3 linked regions of the Tamandua tetradactyla genome follow. The protein of the gene in region 3 interacts with the protein of the main gene of each other region in a pairwise test. Links are inferred from orthologs where the notes say so. Each region holds a gene or a part of one and is shown on either strand. Other genes may lie near its edges. The genes, in order: SAV1, IL1A and HAX1.

What was found.
Region 1: the proteins of HAX1 (region 3) and SAV1 interact in binary tests that used the Homo sapiens proteins (3 or more experiments, as listed by UniProt). The link is inferred for Tamandua tetradactyla from reciprocal best matches to the Homo sapiens genes HAX1 and SAV1.
Region 2: the proteins of HAX1 (region 3) and IL1A interact in binary tests that used the Homo sapiens proteins (3 or more experiments, as listed by UniProt). The link is inferred for Tamandua tetradactyla from reciprocal best matches to the Homo sapiens genes HAX1 and IL1A.

The regions. Positions count from the first base shown.
Region 1 is NC_135340.1:1,699,803-1,706,909, reverse strand, and holds the start of SAV1 (protein salvador homolog 1), read right to left. Parts: upstream 3,102-7,107; 5' UTR 3,034-3,101; coding exon 2,940-3,033; intron 685-2,939; coding exon 241-684; intron 1-240. UniProt on the Homo sapiens protein: Regulator of STK3/MST2 and STK4/MST1 in the Hippo signaling pathway which plays a pivotal role in organ size control and tumor suppression by restricting proliferation and promoting apoptosis.
Region 2 is NC_135343.1:337,647-345,402, reverse strand, and holds the start of IL1A (interleukin-1 alpha), read right to left. Parts: upstream 3,029-7,756; 5' UTR 3,011-3,028; intron 2,543-3,010; 5' UTR 2,504-2,542; coding exon 2,457-2,503; intron 1,612-2,456; coding exon 1,563-1,611; intron 916-1,562; coding exon 693-915; intron 1-692. UniProt on the Homo sapiens protein: Cytokine constitutively present intracellularly in nearly all resting non-hematopoietic cells that plays an important role in inflammation and bridges the innate and adaptive immune systems.
Region 3 is NC_135330.1:7,218,723-7,226,046, forward strand, and holds HAX1 (HCLS1-associated protein X-1), read left to right. Parts: upstream 1-4,273; 5' UTR 4,274-4,385; coding exon 4,386-4,438; intron 4,439-4,960; coding exon 4,961-5,217; intron 5,218-5,388; coding exon 5,389-5,576; intron 5,577-6,056; coding exon 6,057-6,108; intron 6,109-6,253; coding exon 6,254-6,360; intron 6,361-6,485; coding exon 6,486-6,576; intron 6,577-6,724; coding exon 6,725-6,804; 3' UTR 6,805-6,977; downstream 6,978-7,324. Other genes in the region: UBAP2L (ubiquitin-associated protein 2-like), read left to right, coding at 784-981, 1,397-1,447, 2,303-2,398. UniProt on the Homo sapiens protein: Recruits the Arp2/3 complex to the cell cortex and regulates reorganization of the cortical actin cytoskeleton via its interaction with KCNC3 and the Arp2/3 complex. Slows down the rate of inactivation of KCNC3 channels. Promotes GNA13-mediated cell migration.

The sequences.
Region 1 (7,107 bases), on a different chromosome or scaffold from region 3:
GAGATAGCTACCAAGTTTATATAACATAAGTTAATAAAATAAATGGACACAAGAATTCTTTGACCCAGTATAGAGCAATAACTTTTTGCAAGCTGGTTTAAAAAGTCTGGGGAAATGAAAACGTATTTCACTAGGAATATTTGTTAGCTTCCCAAAAAAATCTCAGAAAAGAGTATCTTTCGAATTAAAGTGTCAGTGCTCTACAAATAAACTAATGTAATATTTCTAATTTTCAGTCACCTGAAGTATGCCTCCCCTGATTCTGTGACATCCTTTGGAAGAGATCATGATTGTATTCGAAGTATCTGTAGTCTTCACGCACACGATCTCCAAAAGGCCGCCTTCTCTGACCATCAAAAAAGTTATCTGAATAATAATATCGGGAACCAGAGTCTCCATTTTCAACAGCAAAATTAACTTCAGTTAAAAATGACTGAGAAGAGCCATATTCCCTAGGGACATCTGCTAGACTCCTGGCAAGAAAAGACGGTGCAGACAATCTGTTGCTTTCTCTTCTTATTACTTCATGAGGTGTTCTCTGAATTGGAGTTCTAAGGAAACTCTGGTTTCTTGAAACTACTCCATCTCCAGAGGCTGCAAAAGCATTAGGGCTTGAATCTGGAAGACAGATGTCAGTTCGTCTTGGAATTGTTGGACCATGCCGGATGAATGAAGGCATGAGATCTATAATAAAACAAAGAATAAAATGACCATTTCAACAAATAATAAATACACTTTTCAAAAGTTGTCAGGTTACACCTACCACCCCTAAAATGCAAAGTTTCAATGAACTTAAGAGAACATCTCTTAAATTTTTTATTTAAAATAGTACCTGGATAGTTTAAGATTAAGGCTAATTAACATTTCCCCACCCAAATGGATTGATACTGTATACGAAGGTACTATATGTAAGCTCAGCCAGAATCAAATACATTCTGTGTACCACCATACATATATAACATGGAAAAATGCCAACAAACTTAAATATAAAATGCATACTTAATGAAATAACTCATGAATAAATGTGTAAAACAGGAAACATCTATGTAGTTACCAGCAAAATTATGTAAGATTATAGTTTGTTTTGGTATTTTTCACTTCATTTTAGAAATTGCTAAAATTCCTTCTTCAAGCAAACATTTCTAAGATAAAACAAAACATAATGCTACTCCAAAAATATGTGAAGTTGGATACCTTTACAAAAAAAAAATTGAACTTATTAATCCAGTCTTCTTACTCTTGGAATTACCTAGAACTAGGAGAGTAATCAAAAGCTAGAAAGCCAAAGTTTTTGATATGAAGATTTTTTTAAAAAGGCTCATTCCAAAGAAGTACACGAATGTTTAATCAGTTTAAATTCACCAAGCCTAAATTTATGGCTCCTCTAAGAACCAAGCAATTGAAGAAGATAATAGAACAATGGCTTTTCCAGATACTTCTTAGTACAGAACTTGAAAACAGTTCAGATATTCCCAGATAGAAAGCAAAAACTGTTAATACACGAAGAAAATGAGATTTGTGGCCATTATGTAAACTTATTAGAGGGCATTCATATTAACGGTTTCAGAGAGAAAGAAGTCAATGCCCAAATAAGTAAGGATAAACACTTCATGAAACTAAAACACAAAATACTATAGTAAAAGCTTTTATTTGCCAAAAAGTGTGGCAAAGATATTTTGGAGCTTCAAGTAATGCTTAGTAAACTATGTGCAGCAAACTGCAAACTATCATTTAAGACCTTGGCCAAAAACCTAAGAGCACGTGCACTGTACAGCAAGCTATAAAAAAGGTTTTACAAATGAGCCTCGGGCAGCTGATGCCCCCAGGGGACTTGCTCTGCTCTATGGGAAAGCCCTTCCAGCACGACAACGAACCCAGAAGGCTGCGGCGTGGCTGCAGGGGAAGCCTGCTGTCTGGCCTGCTGTCTGGCCCACCGTGCGCTGCGGACCGGGCACGAGCCAGCCGCGCCCGAGGGACCCCGCGCTCGCGGGAAGGAAACGCGAGGGCTCGGCGCACTGCGGGAGCAGCACGGCACCAGCTCCTACATCACGCCGTCCTCCACGCCCACTCGGAAGCCAGAGTCACACGGCGACAGACAGATCCTACTCCAGTCTAAACGACTTCTTGGTACTTTCCCTAGAACAGGATGGAAGTCGTTTTAAGCTACTTTGCCTCCCTGGAATCTGAAAAGGGTTGTTAAATGGGTGGTGTAAACCGTCACACACACACAGGATTTGTGGGTGCTCTCACATACATACACACACACACACACACACACACACAGGGTCCGTGTGTGCTCTCTCTCTCTCACACACACACACACGGTCCGTGGATACTCTCTTTCTCACACACACACACACACACACGGTCCGTGGATACTCTCTCACACACACACACACAGGATTCGTGGGTGCTCACACACACACACACACACACACACAGGGTCCGTGTGTGCTCTCTCACACACATACACAGGATTTGTGGGTGCTCTCACACAGACACACGGCCCGTGGGTGCTCTCTCTCACACACTCACACACACACACACACACACACACACACACACACACACACACACACGGCCCGTGGTGCCAGCGGAGGGGCCTGGGAGCGGCTGCTCTGCGCCCCTCTGCACAGGCGGCGGCGCCCGGACAGTAGCCGACCGGGCGCCTCTCCGCGTCTCTCCGCGTCTCCAGACCAGGAAAAGGCGCGTCCCGGACTTCGGCGCCCACAACGCCCGAGCGCTCCGGAAGCGTGGGCAGGACCTTCGCCGCGGCCAGGAGCGCTATTTCAGGGACTCTCCCGAAGGAACAACCAACCAAGTTTCCTGCTCTTTTATCCCTTAGCGATTTTCAAACAACCGGCATTCCATGCACCAAAAAGTTACGAAGGCGGAAGGCACCAAGGCCAGACGCGCGCCCGCGGGGCCGCGACACTCACTCCGCAGCAGGGGCGACGTCTCCTTCTTGACGTACTTGCCCTGCACCTCCGCCGGCTTGGACGCTTCGCTTTTAGTTTTCTTTCGGGACAGCATCCCTCCAGCCGAGGCCCGAGGCCGCGCCACGCGGCCCGCCCAGAGCCCGGCGCCGGGTCCTCTCCGCAGCCCGGGGCGCCCGCGGGGCGGGCCGCATGGCCAGGCGCTACGCGCGCCGCCCGCCGCCCAGCCGCGCCCCAGCCGCCTCCCGGAAGTCCGCCCGCGCCGCCGCGCTGACCGCAAGCACGAGAGGCCGGCAGAGCCGGGCCCGGGCCATGGACCCGCACCAGTGTCCGCCGCCGCCTAGTGACCGCCGCTGGGAACTCTGGGAAACCCGCCGCTGGGGCCTCTGGGAAACCCGCCGCTGGGAACTCTGGGAAACCCGCCGCCCGCCTGGGACCCACCCCAGCTCCCGCCTCCCGGGGCGTCGGCGCTGGCCCTCGGCTGACCGCGCGGCTCCGGGGCGGAGGGGCGGCCGCTGTGGTTTCCGCAGCGAGACTGCAGGGGACTGGGGCCGAAGGGGGCCGGCCAGTGTCCTACCTGACCGCGCGCCGCACGGAGCCCCTCCCCACCGCTGCCCCCAGGACCCCTGCACGCCCGCCGGCCTGGGATCGGGTGACTAGCCCGGGCCCTGGGACACCGTCGGGCGGCGCTGCGCGAGGACCTGGAGCCTCCTGACCGAGACGAGTGGTCCGTTAGACGCTGGCCGGCCGGGACGGGCCGCGGGGCCGCCGAGTGCGCCGGCCGTGCAGGAAGGACGAAGGGCGACGCTTTCGCACCTCGCGTTCACGGCAGTGTTGAGTCTGTACGTGTGTAGTCGCACACTGGTGGGAAACAGTCACGTACTTCCTCGTGGAATTAGCTAGTTCCGTCCTCGGGTTTTGAGGGCTTTGAACGCCAGAGATGAGGGTTTGGGATTTTCCGTTTAAAAGCGTGGACTACACTTCGCTGTTACTGACCGGGAACTGCCAAAGGTACAGGATCGTGAGCAAATAAGATAGGATCTATCCCCAGGTGAACTAAAGAGGCCTGTTTTTTTACACTTTTTTATTGTGAAATACACATACATAAAAGCAATAAAATTCCAAGTACATTTTAACAAGTACTTACGCAACAGATTTTAAGTTTGATGTAGGTTACGGTTCCACAATTTTTCATTTTTACTTCCAGCTGCTCCAAGACACTGGAGACCAACGGAAATATCAGTATGATTCAGCAGTCATCTGTGTTAAATCCTATCTTTGTTATGTTCCTCTCCTTTAAACAACATTTATGCATAAAAGCAAAGTACATCACAACACTTAGTTGTAGAACAGATTTCAGAGTTTGGATTGGGTTACAATTCCACAACTTTAGGTTTTTACTTTTAGGTCCTCTAAGGTACTGGAAGCTCAAATAAATATCAGTGTCATGATTGAGCAGTCACGCTCATTTGTTAAACCCGACCTTCTCTGTGCAACTCCACCATCACCTTTGGTCCTTCTCCACTCTAGGGGTGTCTGGGCTATGCCCATTCTAACTTTTCATGTTGGACGGGGCTGTTGATGACATGGGAGGGGCGATAGAACTAGCTGATATTCTGCAGAGGCTGGGCTTACCTGGACCAGGCACCCATCTGGAGGCTGTAGGTTTTGGAAAGTCACCCTAGTGTATGGAAGCTTTGTAGGATCTTATATAAAGCCCTAGGTGTTCTTTACGGTTGGCAGGAATGGTTTTGTTTGGGGTTTGGCAAGTTATGATAGGTAGCAATGTCTAACTTCAGTTTAAGTAAGAGTGACTTTCCATGTACCGCTTGACTCTATTTGAACTCTCTCAGCCACTGATACCTTATTTGCTACACTTCTTTTCACCCTTTATGTCAGGATGGCATTGTTGATCCCACGGTGCCAGGGCCAGGCTCATCCCTGGGTAAATTAGACTTTTAATAATAGAGAATGCTTTCCTTGAGATCTGAAACTTATTTCACAAGAGATACAAAATTTATGCCACAATTAACAAAAGGTATGGAATTTTCTACTGCACCAGATTAAGACGATGATCAAATTGTGTTTTGCCATGAAAAAACATTTTATCTAGTGTCTACTTCCATCTTTGCATGATGCTTTTATGCCCTCTTAGTACAGATCTCCTGCTATTCATTGAGTAACCCACAAATATTTAGTGAGCACCCACTTCTAGGTGCTATTCTAGATCCTTGGGGTGTATCAATGGATGAAACAGACAAAAATCCCTACTGTGCTGGGGAAGATACGATAAAGATAATATGCAAAACAGAATGTTAGTGATAAGAGCTGAGGTGGAAAGCCAGGAAGAGGGTTTGCAATTTTAGGCACTGACGGAGTGACTGGAAAAGGCATCGTGAGACAGGAACATGGGGAACCAGCCATGCAGCTGTCTGGAGGGAGAATATTCCAGGTAGAAAACACAGCCAAGGCATCGCTGCAGGTGGCCAAATTCCTGGCAGATTGAAGGACAGTAAGGAGGTCGGTGCAGCAGGCACAGAGGGATGTAGGGGAGAGTACAAGGGATTGAAATTAGAGCCTTGACGGCCCTTGACTTTGAGCAGATATGTGGCTTCATCCGACCTGATGTTCTGAATAGGATCACTTTGGGTGCTGTTAAGAATAGACTTAGGAAAAGGGCAAAGAGGAGACACCGGTCCGAAGCTATTGCTGGCTTGGACCAGAGTAATAGCAGTGGAAATAAGTGGTCAGATTTTGAACATCTTTTCAAGGCAGAGCCAACGAGGTTGCTGGCATTGAATTGGAACACGAGGAAAAGAGAGAAATCAAGGATCACTCCCATGGGAATGTAAATTTTAACGCTAGAACAGAACAGACCTCAAAAGAAGCAGTTTAGGGTGGGCCAAGGTGGCTCAGCAGGGAAGAATCCTCGCCTGCCATGCCAGAGGACCTGGGTTTGATTCCCGGTCCCTGCCCATGTTAAAAAAAAAAGAAGCAGTTTGTACTTTTAGAGGAACATTAGAAAAGCAGTCACTTCTTCCTGTTCAGAAGTAAGGACTGGTACTAAAGTGTTGGTAGGGTGGGTGGAGAAGAGTGATGAAACATAAATGAAAAAACAATGGGGTTTTCTTACAGATTGGGTATGGAGGAGAAAGTGGTGCCAAAAGTGCTAGTCTTCGGCACAGGGCCTACTTACCTTGGAAGGATGAGAGAAAAAAAGGATATTAGGGTCTTGTTAATAACGTCAATTTTTCCCACCTGGGTTTTCCCAGAGCCTGAAGTAGAGGATACTTTCCACATTCATGGGGGAAAGAAATCGCTGAATTTTATAACTGGAAAGGAATTTTGAGATTAGCTAGGCTAACCTCATTTTATAGATGTAGAAACAAAACTAGAAAAATGGTTTGCCTCAGATCACATTCCTGGTTTACAGCAGATTAGTATCAGAAATATTTTCTTTTCCCATTCTGAGCCTTTCTCTGCTGCAGCATATTAAAAATCCCAGTAATATAATCCAGACTGTTTCTAATACGGTTGTTTCTGAAGGCCATCCATATTCCCTACAAAGTATTCCCTTTTTCAGTGCAATTTCAATTCTTTGAATTACAAAGAAAAAAAATCTGTTAGGTACTCTCTTTAAGACTTATAATTTGACTTTTTATCAAAGAGGGTGCATGCCAGAATCAACAGTCTGCAGGCAGCATCAGCAGTAGCAATGCATAGCAAATATCTGAACTTTGAATCCAGAGGCTTTGAATTCACATGTTTTCCAGAAATTCCTGGAATTCTGAAATTTTTCATTAAGGAATCCAGATTTTGCAGCTTTAATTCTCCAAACACAATGCTAATACTGTATTACATAATAGAAATATTTTTCCCCTTTCATTTGCATTCTCAGTGGAGAAAATAGACAATTAGTGAGTTAACAACTATTTTTGATTAGTATAACATTAAACAAACCTGGGCTAACCTTATAGCTCTCTGGGTCTTAGTTTTCTCATCTGAAAATGAAGAAATTGGACTACTGCATTTCCAAAGTGTTTTTCATTCCTAAAGTTCTGTGCTAAAATGGGCAGAAGGAAATATGCAAAAATATATATATTTTTTAATAATGGTGCCTCATATCTGCACTTACCATATTCTAGGGCGCTAAGCACGTAACAGAAACCTA
Region 2 (7,756 bases), on a different chromosome or scaffold from region 3:
TTATTCAGATGTAATGTTAGAAACAGGACTCATGGGAAGCTTGTAGGGTGAAGGCGACGAGAACACACATGGCTTTCGATCAGGTGGCGCGGGAGGGATGTGCAACCCCGCTGCTCGGCTCGGGACAGCCCTTCGTTTCCTCCATGTGACCTTCAACTCTCGGGCTTCAGGGAGTCAGAGGTCCTGCCGGGCGCTGGACAGATGGCTAGGGACGCAGGCTCCCCCTAATGAGAGCAGCAGCAGCAACACTGATTGTATGCCTACTGTATACCGGGTGATATTCTGGCCGGAACTGGGGAGTCCTGACGCTTGGGACCGGCACAGCTCTCCGGTGAGGCCGGACCCTGAGTTCTCCACTTCCGAGCAGAGGAAACTGAGGCTCAGGAGGACTGGGGGACTGCCCAAGGAGGACAGCTGGGAAGTAGAGGAGCTTGGCTTGGAGGTGGTCGCCAGGCAACAGTACGCACTGCCTTCTCCCTGAGGGCTGAAGGTCCTTTACAAACCTCCAGGTAACAGGCCTGGGGACAAGCATTCCAGCCCGCCCCGCGCAGAGGGATTAAGATTGATTTCCCTTCCTGCGGGTGTGTCCAGTGCCCGCTGCCCTCCTGCTTCTCTGATTCCAGGTTTTCTCCCCCCTCCGCCGCAGTGCCCGTTCGCTTGAGAGTGGCCGAGTGGGGACGGGGCTCCCTCACCTGCCTCCAGCTCTGTGGTGGGGGCCTCCAGGCCATCGACCCTGCCCTCCACACTCAGGCTCCTTCGCCTCTTCTTCAGGACCTTTCCTCGGGCTGTCACCACCACCACACTCTCCTCCAAGGCCAGCTCGGGTCTCGCAGGGGCTGCAGGGGCACTCAGAGGCCAGCATTTATCCACGTGGCCCTCAGGACGCGCGCCATAGCTCGCTTCATAGAAGGATCTCTGGGGACGGGACAGGAAGCTGCAAGGCTGCCGTGGGAGCAGAGGGCACCCTTCAGTCGCCCTCTCCTGTGCTTCCCTCCCCCTGACCCCTCTCCCCCACCGCCCTCCCCCCTGCCCTCCCTCCTCCCCTCCTCCTCCCTCCCTCCTTCTTTCCCTCCTCCAGGATTTCCTTGAAAGGATGTGCTCTCCTAGGAAGACTTTGCCTTTCATGGGCTAAGCCGAAAATGAGGAGCTACACCCTGGGCGAGCACCAGCCTGAGCATAGCCTCGTGCTAGCTCCTCCCTGAGGCTAAGCTCTGAGGAGTTTAGGGCTCCCCTGTGGAAGCAGCTTTGAAGCCCGCCCTGAAGACAGGCATAGCCTGGCAGTGACTGCACGTCCCTCTGCCCGGGGTCTCGCTTCCTTCGCTGTGGGACGGGCTGCCTCTCGACCTGGGCGGGTGCCAGTGAGGACACCTGTCCTTCTCGGGCCGTGTGGCCGGGGGGCCTGTGAGGCCGGGCCGGGGGACTCTGGCCTTGGGGTTTCGGGACCGTCCTGTCCAGTTCTGCAAGCTGGTTAGGGGTCTCAGACACCCTGGGAGGCCGGCCCGGACTCGCCATCGCTGCTCCCGCCTGGGCACGCCGTCCCGACACCTCGGCCGCCGTCTTACCTGGTCCAGGGCGCCGCCGCCGCTGCCGGGCCCACAGCCGCCATCCTCACTGTCAAAACAGGACGCGGGGATGTAGCTGTTTGTTTCCTCTCTGTGGTCGCCAGGCAACGTGCCCTCACGACTGCGCCAGCTCTGCCATCACACCCTTGGCACTTGCCATCATGTTTGAAAATTAAGGGCCTCTGTGCACAGTCACCGCCAGCGAGGTGGGGCTCGCCCACCTGGGATGAGCAGGACCGGGCGTGGACTCTAGCTGAGCTTTATCTGTGGAAGCACGGCTCTGCTCACGTGCTAAAGCCTTGTGACTGAATTTCAGAGTAACATGGTAAGCACTTCAAAAGGGGACTTTCGAAGCACCTCTGTTTTTGTTTTAACCAAGCAGACCACGTGTCACACATTGTTTTCATGTATTCACTAAGACAGATTTAATCGTTTATACTTGGCAGAAGCCTCCAAGCACCATCTGGAAGTCCAGCCTGCATTACTATATATCACACTTAGGGTCGTGCTGTGTTGGTTTAAGAGTTTATGCATTGAACATCTGTCCTGTCTGTCGAGGCTGGGCTGTGAGCCAGTTCCCATTTGGAGTGGGATCAGAAAGCTTTCCTGAAACGGTTTCTCTCTCCATCAGTCCACGAACGCCCGTGTCCCCGTGTCACGTGGCCTCGACCGGGCCTGTGTGCGAGTGGATGTGACATGCATGGGGTGGGACAGACCTCAGACACTGGTTTTCTAAACTGGTTTCGCATGCTGGTCTCTGCCGAAGCCCCCTGACCTCACAGATAGCAGAAAACTCTTTCGGCCTCCCCAGGCCTGGCCCCCTGCGCCCCCCCCACCAGCTGGGGCCAGCAAGCCCCCAGCAGCCCCCGTGGAACCTGAGGCAGGATCTGTTACCGGTAGCAGCTCTTCAGGTCTTCAAACAGGTCAGGGACTCGGGCCATCTCGGTGTTGCTGGCAGGAACGGTCTCTGAGCAGGGGGCCTGCAGAGCAAACGACCCCCTCTTGCTTCTGGGGGAGCGGGCCCCAGAGGCCACCCTCAGCGTCTCCCCCTTCCTCCCGTCCACTCCTCCACTCTGACTTTATACCATCTGCCGCCCCCATGGAACTGTAACCCTCTTCTAGACTCTGCCTCAGGTCTGGCATGGCACACAGTGGTCTGATAGGTCAAAGACCACCAGCGCCAGCGCCTGCCCTGGAGAGATGCCAGGCAGCGGCAGGGCCGGGAATTTCCGGTGCCCTCCAGAGGGCAGGCACGGTGCCCGCCAGCGCCCCTGAGGGAGCCGGCTCCCCGTCTCAGGACGACACAGGTTCCTCTGAGACCTGACTGGCCCCAGCTCACCCAGCCAGGGGAAGGGAGGGCCAGGGAGACGTCAGAGAAGGAAGTTGGAAGGAAAGCAGCAAGGGGGAAAAGGCGTCCAGCAGCCCCCGTGCCGGAGGGACGACGGTACCTGTGTTGGCTGTGCTGAAATGACTGCCTCTGTGGCCGGCAGCCAGGGCCCTGCCTATTGTACTGTCCTGAGTAGGCGTGGCCGCGAGGACGTCATGGGGAATTTACAGGAAAGAATTCTGTTTCTGCAGCTCTGGAATTTGCTCAACTTGATACTGGACAAAATAATGACTTGCTAGATAATTTTGCCAAATTGTTTTCAGAGATTCCAGGACTGAACTGACTTGGTTTGTTTATTTATTGCTTTGCTGTTTATAATCACAGACCTGTAGTTGTGGAAAAAGGGAGAAGAGCAGGAAATGACAAGTTTGTAAAAACTATGGTGGGGAGGAAGGGTGGAATCCCGAGATCAGGATCACGGGTGGCTAGAGTTGGGGGAGTGTTTTGTGGCTTGGTCTGTGTTTGGAGTTTGTGTGCATGCACGTATACGCATGCGTTTGTCTGTGCATGTGTGCATATGTGTTCATGCATGTGTGCATATGTGCGCATGCGTTTGTGTGCGTGTGCATGTGTGTGGACATGTGTTTGTGTGTGCGTGCACATGCGTTTGTGTGTGCATGTGTGTTCGTGCACGTGTGCATATGTGTGTGCACATGCATTTGGTGAGTGTGCATATGCGTGTGTGTGCGAGCCCAGGGCTGGTGAGGGTGCCCAGGACTGCGGGGGGCAGCATAGTGGCCGCAGCGTCCCCGGGACCCCCAGGCCGTGACTGCGCCTGAGGCCGGTGTGGCCGCTGGGGCAGCCTCCAGGGCTGTGGACCCCGAGGGGCTGGGGAGAGCTGTCCTGGTGGAGGGCTGTCCCCGTGGCCTGAGACCACCAGGCTGCCCAGCAGATGAGCGTGTCCAGTTCCCCAGGGGAGTCTGAGCCACATCAACTTGAAATAAAGGAAGCAGAGGGAAGAGGAGGAGAGCGAAGAGGAGAAGAAGCCGCATGGCATGAAAGCGACGCAGCCAAGAATGGGTGCAAAGTGGTGCATGCGGGCGGCGCCGTCTCTTCCAGCCGCCGCTGGGTGGGACTGTGGGGAGGCCGTACGGCCTGACCTACCAGCCCCGGCGTCCGCACCTGCTGGCCGTCGACGTGTCATGATCGTCATGAACAAGATCTTGGAGCCACCCGCATACGGAGGACCAGCTGGGCCTCGGGAGGGCGGGCGCAGCTGGCCGAGCACCCCTAGGGTGTGGTCCTGTCCAGCCCCTGCTTTGGGAAATGTAAGGCCGGGGCTGGGGGACCTGTGCGAGGTGCCCAGGGTGCGAGGGTGGCCATGGGGACACAGCTAAACGCAAATCGTCAGTGCCGCCTGTAGCCCCCGTGGCCAGTGCAGTCTATACCCTGAGGACAGCCTGCGGCCGCACCACCCGCAAGCTCAGCAGGGAGAAAGCAGCCGCAGGGCCCTGGCACTGCCTCCCGCACATGGCTGTGGAAACTGTTTTGGAAGAGGGACTGGTGAGCCAGGTGCTGAGAGGGGCGGGCCCTACTGTCGCTTTCGGGGCCGAAGTCCCAGAAGGGCGGCTGGGAGCCAGCCTTGCGGCCCGAGCAGGTCCCATGTGGGCAGCCGTGTCCGGGTGCTGCAGCGCCCTGTCCCTGGGGTCCTCACCCATGTGGGAGCAGGACTCGCTCTCACATTCTACAGATGAGGACATGGGATGCTGGAGGGACCAATAATCTGCCCACAGCTGTGAGGTCGGCGCGTCGCCCCGGCGGGCTCGGACACCGCAGCCCTTCTGTCCCTCGCTGTGGCCTCTGCCCTTCCTTTGCTTTTTACATTTCTTTTCAGTTCTTCTGCTTTCCTCGGTGCCCCACTGAAGGCCTGCGATTCTACGTGGGAGAAGCGTGCCCCTGCGAGACATCCGCGCCAAACTCTCACTTATATAAAAGACGTGGAGTGGAAGGTGTTGCCTTGGTCACGTGGACAATTTATATGCGCCAGGAACTGAAATTCACACCCACTGCCTCCTATTTCTCACTCAGAATACCCTACGGCTAGAGGCACCTGCTCGTCACAGCCTCTCTGTGCTCCTGCCTGTGGATGAACAGGACCGAAGCCCCAGGGAGCGGGCGGCCGCCCCCCACCTGGCCCATGACCCTGTGGACACCTGTGCAGGGAGATGGGCCAGTGGGGGGAGGGGCGCGGCCCTGGGGGGGCGGGGTGTCCAGGCTAGGGGGAGGGGCTTCCAGGTAGGGGAGGGGCTTCCAGGCCAGGGGAGGGGCGTCCAGGCCAGTAAGGGGGGGAGGGCGGGTGGGGCAGCTTGGGGCCAGGGCTGCGTGGTGCGGGGTCCGGGGTTGCGGGGTCCAGTTTCTGTGCAGCTGTCTGGGCGGTGCTGGTGGGAGGACGCAGGACCCCAGACCGCCTGCAGGGTGGGGTGGGGGTGGCGCGCTCTGATCCCCACCCATGGGCCCGCCGGGTGGTGCGTGTCTGGGTCAGAGCGCCCCGGGAGCACTGCCGGGCAGAGGGCACAGCGGGCAGCATGGGCCACGCTGCCTTCCTGCTGACTCCTGTAGGTTGCTTCACCAGAAACGGGCTTTAGCAATTCCTCTCCTTTTGAGTCATTTCCCTCTTTGGAGTCACAGTTATCCATGAGCTGAACTTGTTTCTCAAGTTCAGAGAAGAACCTGTCTTACTTTTTGGATTCTAAAACAAGTCTTCAGGTGCTGTTGAGGAGATACGAAATATGTAAAGAGGATGATGTGCTTCTTTTCGGGGCATATATATAGATTTATTTCTCTGGGCCTTTAGGTTTTGGCTTTCCCGAAATCCAGGGAGCAGGTGGACGGTAGAGGCCCTGCGCCCCACTCCATGAGCCCCCTCCTCACTGGCAGTCAGGCAAGAGGAGCCAAGAGGCCCCAAGGTCTCCGCCTGTGCACCGAGGCGTCCGTCCTCCTCTGGGGCTCCGCATGGCCGCCCGACGCCTTCCCTTCCCCTGGAAGAGTCCGGGCTGGGGATCTGGGTATGCCCCCATGTCCCTCCCCACACGCGTCCCTGGATGGAGCTGGCGATGGTAGCTTTCCCTTGGCAGAGCCTTCACCCCCTGGATGGTGAGCTTTCCGGTAAGACAGATCACAGCCTAATCAGCTGCTTTCATCTCGGCCAAATCTTGACTCCAGTATGATCTGGGAGAATAAAACGGCTGCCACACCGTCGGTGCGAGGGAGTCACTACTTCAGGTTGAAATGTCACCACAACGCTGCACCCGGGTGTGTGTACAGGACCCGATGCGCTTCAAAGCACTTGTTATGTGTCCGTGGGAAGCCTGGCATGAGGCTGGAGGCCGTGCAGGGGCTGAGCCTCACACGGGGGGTTCGCACTGTCCTCCCCCAGCAGGGGTGGTTGCAGCACGAGGCCTGGAGGGGAGCTGTGACGGGAGGAGTGTGGCCACGGCGGTGGCCGGCTGCCCGCGGCCTCCAGGCTGCCTGCAGCCTCCAGGCCTGGCTCTGTGGGCTCCAGAATGCCCGTGGCCTCCAGGCTGCCCGTGGCCTCCAGGCTGCCTGCGGTCTCCAGGCTGCCCGTGGCCTCCAGGCTGCCCGTGGCCTCCAGACTGCCCGCGGTCTCCAGGCTGCCCGCGGCCTCCAGGCTGCCCGCGGCCTCCAGGCTGCCCGTGGCCTCCAGCCTGCCTGTGGCCTCCAGGCTGCCTGCGGTCTCCAGGCTGCCCGTGGCCTCCAGGCTGCCTGCGGTCTCCAGCCTGCCCGTGGCCTCCAGCCTGCCCGTGGCCTCCAGGCTGCTCGCGGTCTCCAGACTGACTGTGGCCTCCAGGCTGCCCGTGGCCTCCAGGCTGCCTGCGGTCTCCAGCCTGCCCGTGGCCTCCAGGCTGCCCTCGGTCTCCAGGCTGCCCGTGGCCTCCAGGCTGCCCGTGGCCTCCAGGCTGCCTGCGGTCTCCAGGCTGCCCGTGGCCTCCAGGCTGCCCGCGGTCTCCAGGCTGCCCGTGGCCTCCAGCCTGCCCATGGCCTCCAGGCTGCCCGCGGTCTCCAGACTGACCGTGGCCTCCAAGCCTGTCCGTGGCCTCCAGGCTGCCTGCGGTCTCCAGGCTGCCCGCGGTCTCCAGCCTGCCCGTGGCCTCCAGACTGACCGTGGCCTCCAGGCTGCCCGTGGCCTCCAGGCTGCCCGCGGTCTCCAGCCTGCCCGTGGCCTCCAGGCTGCCCGCGGTCTCCAGGCTGCCCGTGGCCTCCAGGCTGCCCGTGGCCTCCAGGCTGCCCGCGGTCTCCAGGCTGCCCGTGGCCTCCAGGCTGCCCGTGGCCTCCAGCCTGCCCGTGGCCTCCAGGCTGCCCGTGGCACATCTGGGCTCCCTCCTTGTGCCTGCTTTGGGGAATCTCCCTGTTGTACACAGAGCTGTCGCTGGCGGATGTGTGGTTAACTCTTTCTGTTCTTCTTCATTACTTCAGTGGCAAATTTGATTTGTCATTGAGTATAAATAGAAATAAATTCCTTTCCAAGTACAGAAATATGTAACAGTTGTTGATAAATCAGAAGGGAATGACCGTTTTTTACCCCATCTTCTGAGTGATTATGACTCAGCCTCGCTTTCTAGAAAGGTTGGTACGCACGAAGACGGCTGGGCCTTGTTAGTATGCAAGAAAAGGAAGTTTAGGTTTTTTCTGAGTCTGAAAGTTTGGGCAAGCATTGAAGCGTTTTGATAAGAAAATGAACATCCAAGGGGAAGAAGTAGGAGCCTAGCTTTCCCTCTCCTGCACTCTTCCTGTGTGGTCTTAGTGCTCTGCCCTCTGGTCCGGGAGGGCCCTTTGGGGCCTGGGGAGG
Region 3 (7,324 bases):
GGTTTTTAATATTTTTATATTTAAATTATATTTAGATTTAATTAAAGTTTTTAATTTTTAATTTTTTTTTGTATGCTGAACGGCGAGGGTCTGCAACTGTTCTTGCCCTTTCCTTTACTTTCCTATTCTCCCAACCCTTCTCATAACTTTCTGAGAGAATGAGTATGGAATGAAAGGAAACTATTTCATCCCATTCTTTGTGAGTAAATAATAAAACTAAAGAGTGGGGAAGAAGACAACTCAGTAATTAAAGAACGAGGCATTAGAGTTATCCACAGGTGGTCTTATTTGTATTGCTTTTTATTCCCCATCATCATAAATATTAAAAGATTGATATAAAGTAATAGGGGTTTAGGGGAGAGCTTCATGGCCAAGACCCTCAATACTTAAAACACCTCAGTTTGTACTCATTTTGAAATATTAACAGGAATTCTAATTTTACCCAACTGCAGAGGTGGAGTTGTTAAAAGCAGTCAGTACATTTCATTATGTTCATATAGAGCATTAGATTTTGAGAAATGTTTTTACTTCCATCCTCATTTGAACCTTACAACCAAAACTTTAGTAGACCAATAGCATCCTCATTTTATGTTTTGCGAAATTGAGTAATTTGCCCAGGAATCATGCTGCTATTAAGGGCAGAGCTGGGACTTTGATTTCAGATGCATTGTTCCTTGTATAACATGAATGCTGCTTTCTTGGGGTTGGGGAGCTTGGGCTTAGAGATTCCAAGCATAAATTTGCTGATCCCTTTTACTCTCTCTCCTCCATTCTCCTGGATAGCAGTCCTTTGAGAAACAAGGTTTTCATTCCGGTACTCCTGCTGCCTCCTTCAACTTGCCTTCAGCCCTAGGAAGTGGGGGGCCCATCAACCCGGCCACAGCTGCTGCCTACCCACCTGCCCCCTTTATGCACATTCTGACCCCCCATCAGCAGCCACACTCCCAGATCCTTCACCATCACCTGCAGCAGGATGGCCAGGTAATAACCCTTCCCCCTTACTCCTTTCCCTTCCTTTTCCTTCCTATCCCTTAAAACTGCCTCCCCTTTCCTTCTCTTACCCTTCCTCACCACCACCTTCACCCAGTCCCTCCCCAGCGCCAGCCATGGGCACACAGCACATACAGACTCAAGCGCACATAACACAAGCGGCCGGCAAAGGAGATGTCAGAGAAGGGGCCAGATTGAAACCTTTTTTGTTCAGTTCCATTGGTGCCTTTCTCTACCTCCTCCCATGGCACAATTGTCCTCATCCCATCAGACCTGGGTCACACCTCCCCTCCTACCTCTCCCAGCCTTCCCCCTTGCCCCAACATTATAGCTTTCCCTTCTAATGGTAGAGTTCTATTGTCAAAGTTTGTCCCTTTATTTTCCATATATCCTGGTTCTGCCTCAGCTACCATATTTGCAGATGATTCTCTGTTGCCAGCGCCAGCAGGAGGAGCAGGTAATGAAACTGAATGATAATATGCTTGAACCCACTCCCTTTCAGTCCCCATTTCATCTTTGCAACCTCAGGGAACTTGAAGAGAAAAGAGATTGCGCGGTCACAAATCGGGATACACAAACACAAACACCTTGCTGAGCTCTCTGGCCTCCCCTTCCTCTTTCCTTTCCTCCCTCAGCACCCTCTTTTTCTTCTACACCCTGATCCAGTTCTGGTATACACTTGATTACTGGAATGGAAAGGATTCTTGGGTCAGCATCTAGAGCCCTGAGACTTCAGACTCTCTTTCCTACCTTGCCTGAAAAGGGAAGGGCTCACAGATGTGACTTATGGTAGGGATGGGGAGCTGTGGGATGGTGTAAAAGACCTCTCCTCCATTGTAGGTGATTGAGGAGCTAGATTAGGGGCTTTCTTGCCTCCATAGACAGCTTTCCAAATAGAGGCATTCATGGAGGAGATCAGTGTAAATGAAATCAACTAGTGATCATTCATCTCCGAGAGGCTGTAATTCTCTGTAGAAAAGAGTAGCCTTTTCCCAGAGCAGGGGCGGCTGATGGGATGAGGGAGGTGGTATTGAAAATAAGTAGAACTGATTCACCATCTCATTTCCAAAGGTATCTTGCCCTCTTTTCATCTTTTCACTATTTAAAGGCTGAAAGTGCCTTTGTGCTGGTCAGAGAGGGGATCTAACCACTCGGAGGATCAGAACTTTCCATGGTTGGGCTTCAGAGTAGCCTCTAAGCAAGGGGAATGGGAGCGTAAGACAACTTCCACATCTCCATGTGAAGATCTCACAGACTTGTCCCACTAACTAGACACCTTTTTCCTCCCCATGATCCTCCCATTCCCCTGCAGACGGGCAGCGGGCAACGTAGCCAGACCAGCTCCATCCCGCAGAAGCCCCAGACCAACAAGTCTGCCTACAACAGCTACAGCTGGGGGGCCAACTGAGGCCCTGACCCTCTTCTCCTGGCCCCATCTTCTGAGAGGGCTTCTCAGCCTGGCAACTATGGAAACAGCATCAAAGAGAAAAAGGAATGTTGGGGGATTCTGCTGCCCCCCACCCCCAGCGGAGCTCCCCATGCCTCAGCTTCATGTCTGTCCCATTCCCATACCATCCCCACCCTGTTGTATGTATTATAGGATTTGTATTTTTTCCTTTTTTTTTTTTTTCTCCTTCCTTTCCTCTTCCTCCTCTTCCCCACTACCCCATGCATTCAAGATTATGAAACTCTGCTGTGGGCCCTGCCCTTCCTTCTCCTCCTCCTGTTCACCCTGGTGGTGTGTGGGTGAGATGGGGAGGTGGGACCCCCAAATATATATCAGCCCAACAGCCCTAAGTCTCCTCCTTTATTATTAGGAAAACAAAACAACAACAACAAAAAAAAAACGGCGTCATGAATATGAACAGCATTGTCAGATGAATTCGTTGAAGTGTTTTTTTTTGTTTTTTTTTTTTTTGTTTTTTTTTTTGTACTGTGTCCTCAAATTTAATGGATTAATGTGTCTTGTATATATAAAAAGAAAACCTCTACCTTCAGCCTCTGCCCATTCTTGCTCCGTCTAGGATATCCTCAGTCTCGTCGATGACCAGCTTGGTGAATAAGTGTTACTGTACCAACTCGGCCTTCTCTAGCAGGCCCTCAAAGGCAGTGGAATAAAATGAAATCTTCGCCCTTCTCTGACCTTAATGTGCTAGTGTCTTGCCCTTGCGGGGTTCCCTTCCTTTAATCCTTAAGAGTCTTACAGCCTGGTGCCTGGAAAGAAGCACCACAACTTTTCATTCCCTCCAGAAACTGATACATCTACAACAGATTTCAAGCAGTGAGGGAGAGGAATAGAGGAGATTGGGTGATGAGGGAAAGACGTAAGGAGGAGCTGAGACTGTTTCAAAGGAATGACTTTGTGGGGTCAAAATATGCAGGGGTCCAAGCAAACTGAAAGAAGTGAGGGTAACATGTACTGTTGGCTTTCAGAACTTAAGCTTTGGGTCCATTACCGTTAAGGGAAGAACATAGTAATTCTTCCTTCTTGAGTGCTTTGGTGTTGCATAGCTATACCCAGTCCCCTGAAAAGGAACCCAGAACAAGGCAGGGGGTGGAGGTTGGAGTGAGGGATGAAGACAGGCTCTGAAAGTAGTCTATGATATGAAAAAGAGAATACTTAAAACCTCAAATTCTTTCTTTACTCCTTCACTACCTTTCCTTCCAGTGTTCTTTTACGAATCCTGTATTCTGCTGGCTTCGGAGCCTATTTCAGAAAATTAATATTTTATAACATTCCCTGGTGGTTGGTGGAATTGAGAAATTATAAATCTATGTATCCTTATGCCTTTTATCTATTTAATTGTGGGTAATTCGATGCGAGAAGGGGCTTGATAAAACCTTTTATCTACCCACTATATTAGACAACCCAGGTCAGTAAAAAAATAGGTTGAAGGACTGAGGTGGCTTCTGGATGTGGTGAGCCAGGGGTGAGGGACATGCGCACATAGGTTCAATTTGGGCGTTTGCGCTGCCCTCTGGCGGCTTTATCCAAATAAAATCCAATCAAACTCTCGAAGCATCTTTTTGGACTGGGCTGGTAAGCGGAAAGAAGATACAGCTTAGAAGGGAGATGATAATTGGAAAATAAAAATTCGAAATAGGATAATTCCGGAATTGGATAATTGGGGGGAAAATATGTCCACTACCTTCAAACTTGTCTGTGAAAGATGATCAAGGGAAAGCCTTTTGAGATTGAGGAGGATCGGCTGTCCGCCCCGCCTTCTCGTCCACGTCGTTTTACGTCCTTTATCGCCCTTTTACGACAACATGCCCGGGCCACAGGTTTGCTTTCTGGCAGCCTGGTCTGACTCGCTTTCCGGTAGCGTAGTGCGGCTGGATCCCGGTGTAATGAGCTGCCGGCGGGTGTTCAAGGCTTGTATTCTTAAGCGGGAATGAGTGTCTTTGACCTGTTCCGGGGCATTTTCGGATTTTCTGGACCTCGGAGGTGAGAGTGGGTCGGGTCGGATAAGGGGATTCTTCTGAGGCGAGCTTGACTCCTAACACCCAACCTTTTGGAAAAACCCTCTTCCCATTCCTGCTGAGAGGACGAAAGTCGCAGCATACAGCACTCACCCCACGACAGTAATCAAGGCGGTCGTTAAGAGGAGAAGAAACAGCACTTCTTTTTCCAACCTGGGGTGATGCAACAGGGGTCCGAGCGGGGAAGACAGTGGAGGTCTAGAAGTAAAGACAAGGAGCCAGTGAGCAGGACCTTGGGAGAGAGGGGAGGGTCTGGGGAACACTGGAGAAAAGGCAGTGAGGGCTTGGGGAGAGCCGCGAGATTGAGGACTGACTTTGATAAAAACTAAAAAACAAAAACTGTCAGCTGTCATGTTTTGGTTTGACAGCCAGCCCTCTCCCCAACCTACCAGATCCTTCTTGCCCTACTTTGCCACCCATGAGTTGATTAAAGGCTAAACACTTGATGATACTAAAATCTTGCTGGCCAATCTACCTCCACCCCCAGCCACAGAGATCCCTTTTTTGGCGGGATGACCCGAGATGAAGATGAGGATGATGAGGAAGAGGAAGAAGGAGGAGACACTTGGAGCCATGGAAGCTCCAGGTTTGGGGTTCCCCATCCCCCTGAGGAATTTGGCTTTGGCTTCAGCCCAGGAGGAGGAATACGTTTCCATGATAACTTCGGCTTTAATGACCTAATACGGGATTTCAATAGCATCTTCAGCGAAATGGGGGCCTGGACCTTGCCTTCCCGCTCTCCTGGTGTGTGAATACTCCTAAGGGAGAACTCATGGGTTCTAGTGGGTTGGTGGGCAATGTAAGAAACGTTCAGGGAGTAGCTGGGGGATGAGAAGTGTGAGAAGATAACTTCAGGAAGTTTAAAGAGCCCACGTCCTTTCACCTGCCCAGCATTGATCTGTCACCTTTCTGCAGAACTTCCAGGTCCTGAGTCAGAGACCCATGGTGAGAGATGGCAGGGGGGAGAGACGCTTCGGGACTCAATGCTTAAGTATCCAGATAGTCACCAGTCCAGGATTTTAGGGGGGGTCTTGGAGAGTGGCGCAGGAACTGAATCCCCCAAATCAACACCAGACTGGGGATTCCAGAGACCTTTTCATAGGGTGAGTACCACATCTAGACTTGAAGTGAGAGCCTGTGAAAGACTTTAAGTAGAGTGCAAAGACTGGAATCTTTGTTGGAAACTGATAGATTTGGGTTGGAATTCTGGGCTCTCCACTGAGTGTGCTTATCTGTTTTGTATATTGAATTTCTTATAAGAATTTTTTTTCGTGGAGGGGGGGCAGGGAATGGAAGTTCTGTCTCTTAAAAAAAATTTTTTTTAAATAATCAGTCCAGGTAATTACTGGATAAGGCAAGATTGTGGGAGGAGGATCAGAAAGTGTCAGTTCAGGAAAGCTTCTTGGTAGAGGGTTACATAAAAGAAAGCTAGGAAGGAGGGGGGGTGGGTAAATCGAGCTAGCCTGAATGGAATTCTTTCTCCTGGGAAAGATGGTTTTAGAACTTTGGAGTAGTTTAGGGCCATGATCCTTCAAATTTTAGGTAGAAAGGTGTCTTTTCACCTACTGTGACTTCTTCCACAGTTTGATAATATGTGGCCTGTGACCCCACATCCTAGAGCCAAAGAGGACAATGGTGAGTCTGGAGGGAGGAGGCATTGACCAGCCCTCTCTTGTTGTCTCAGAGTTCTCTCTGTTGTCCCTTCTGAACTTATTGCTGTACTTCTACTCTTCTTTCCCTCGGACTCTTTTCCCCTGTTTCTTCATCTCTGTTTTTTCAGATCTTGATTCGCAGGTTTCCCAGGAGGGCCTTGGCCCAGTTCTGCAACCCCAGCCAAAATCATACTTCAAGAGCTTCTCTGTGACCAAGATCACTAAGCCAGACGGGGTGAGTTGGGAGAGAGGGGTAGAGGGAAACTGTGTCCAGAGGATGCTCTGGAGACAGGAATTTGTGTAAAGAAACTACTGAACTCACTTTTAGTGACATGAGGGGTGTTGGGGGACTCCTTGTAGACAGTGGAGGAGCGCCGGACTGTGGTAGACAGTGAGGGCCGGTCCAAGACCACAGTAACCCATCAAGAAGGAGACGGCAGTCCTAGATATGGTAAGTGAAGTGCATGAATCAAGAGGTTCATCTCTTAATTCCCCGGGTAAGGGAAACCCTTGTTCTCCTGCCCTTTAATGGTGTTCCTCTCCGTTGCCCCTGCACGGACTCGCTCACTTAGCCTATCTGTGTGTATGTATTCTTCCAGAATTGCCAGGACCTCCAGCCCTAGATGATGCTTCTTCCATCTTGGATTTATTCCTTGGACGTTGGTTCCGGTTCCGGTAGCCTTGTAACCCTCAGAGGCCTTCTTTCCTTACTACATCCCACCTGTTGCTCACCAATAATGGGCTGAGCTTCTCCTGCCATACAGAGGGCTGGGGGTTGTGGAACAGTGAATTGGGGTTATGTCAGTATACTTCTCACCCAGACTGACCAATAAAACCTTTATTTGTGCTAGATCCTTGGCTTTGTTTTGTGGAGGTTGTCTTACTTTCTAGCACACCTAGGACTTCCCAAATTATCTTGACTTGCAACCTCCTTATTGTGTGTTAGAGAAAAATATAATGAGCACAAACAGTAATAGATATTTTTCTCCTTTAAAAAGTTTTTAGTCCATCAATGAGTAAACAAAATGTTACATGTACACTGCGTTGTACTATTATTCTGCCGTAGGACAGAATGAAGTTCTGAGAAATGCTGCAACGTGGAAGGACCTTGAAAACATGCGCAGTGAAATAAACATGACACATAAGGGCAAATATTATATGATGTCACAAGAGATGTCTAAAAATAGCAAATTTGCAGA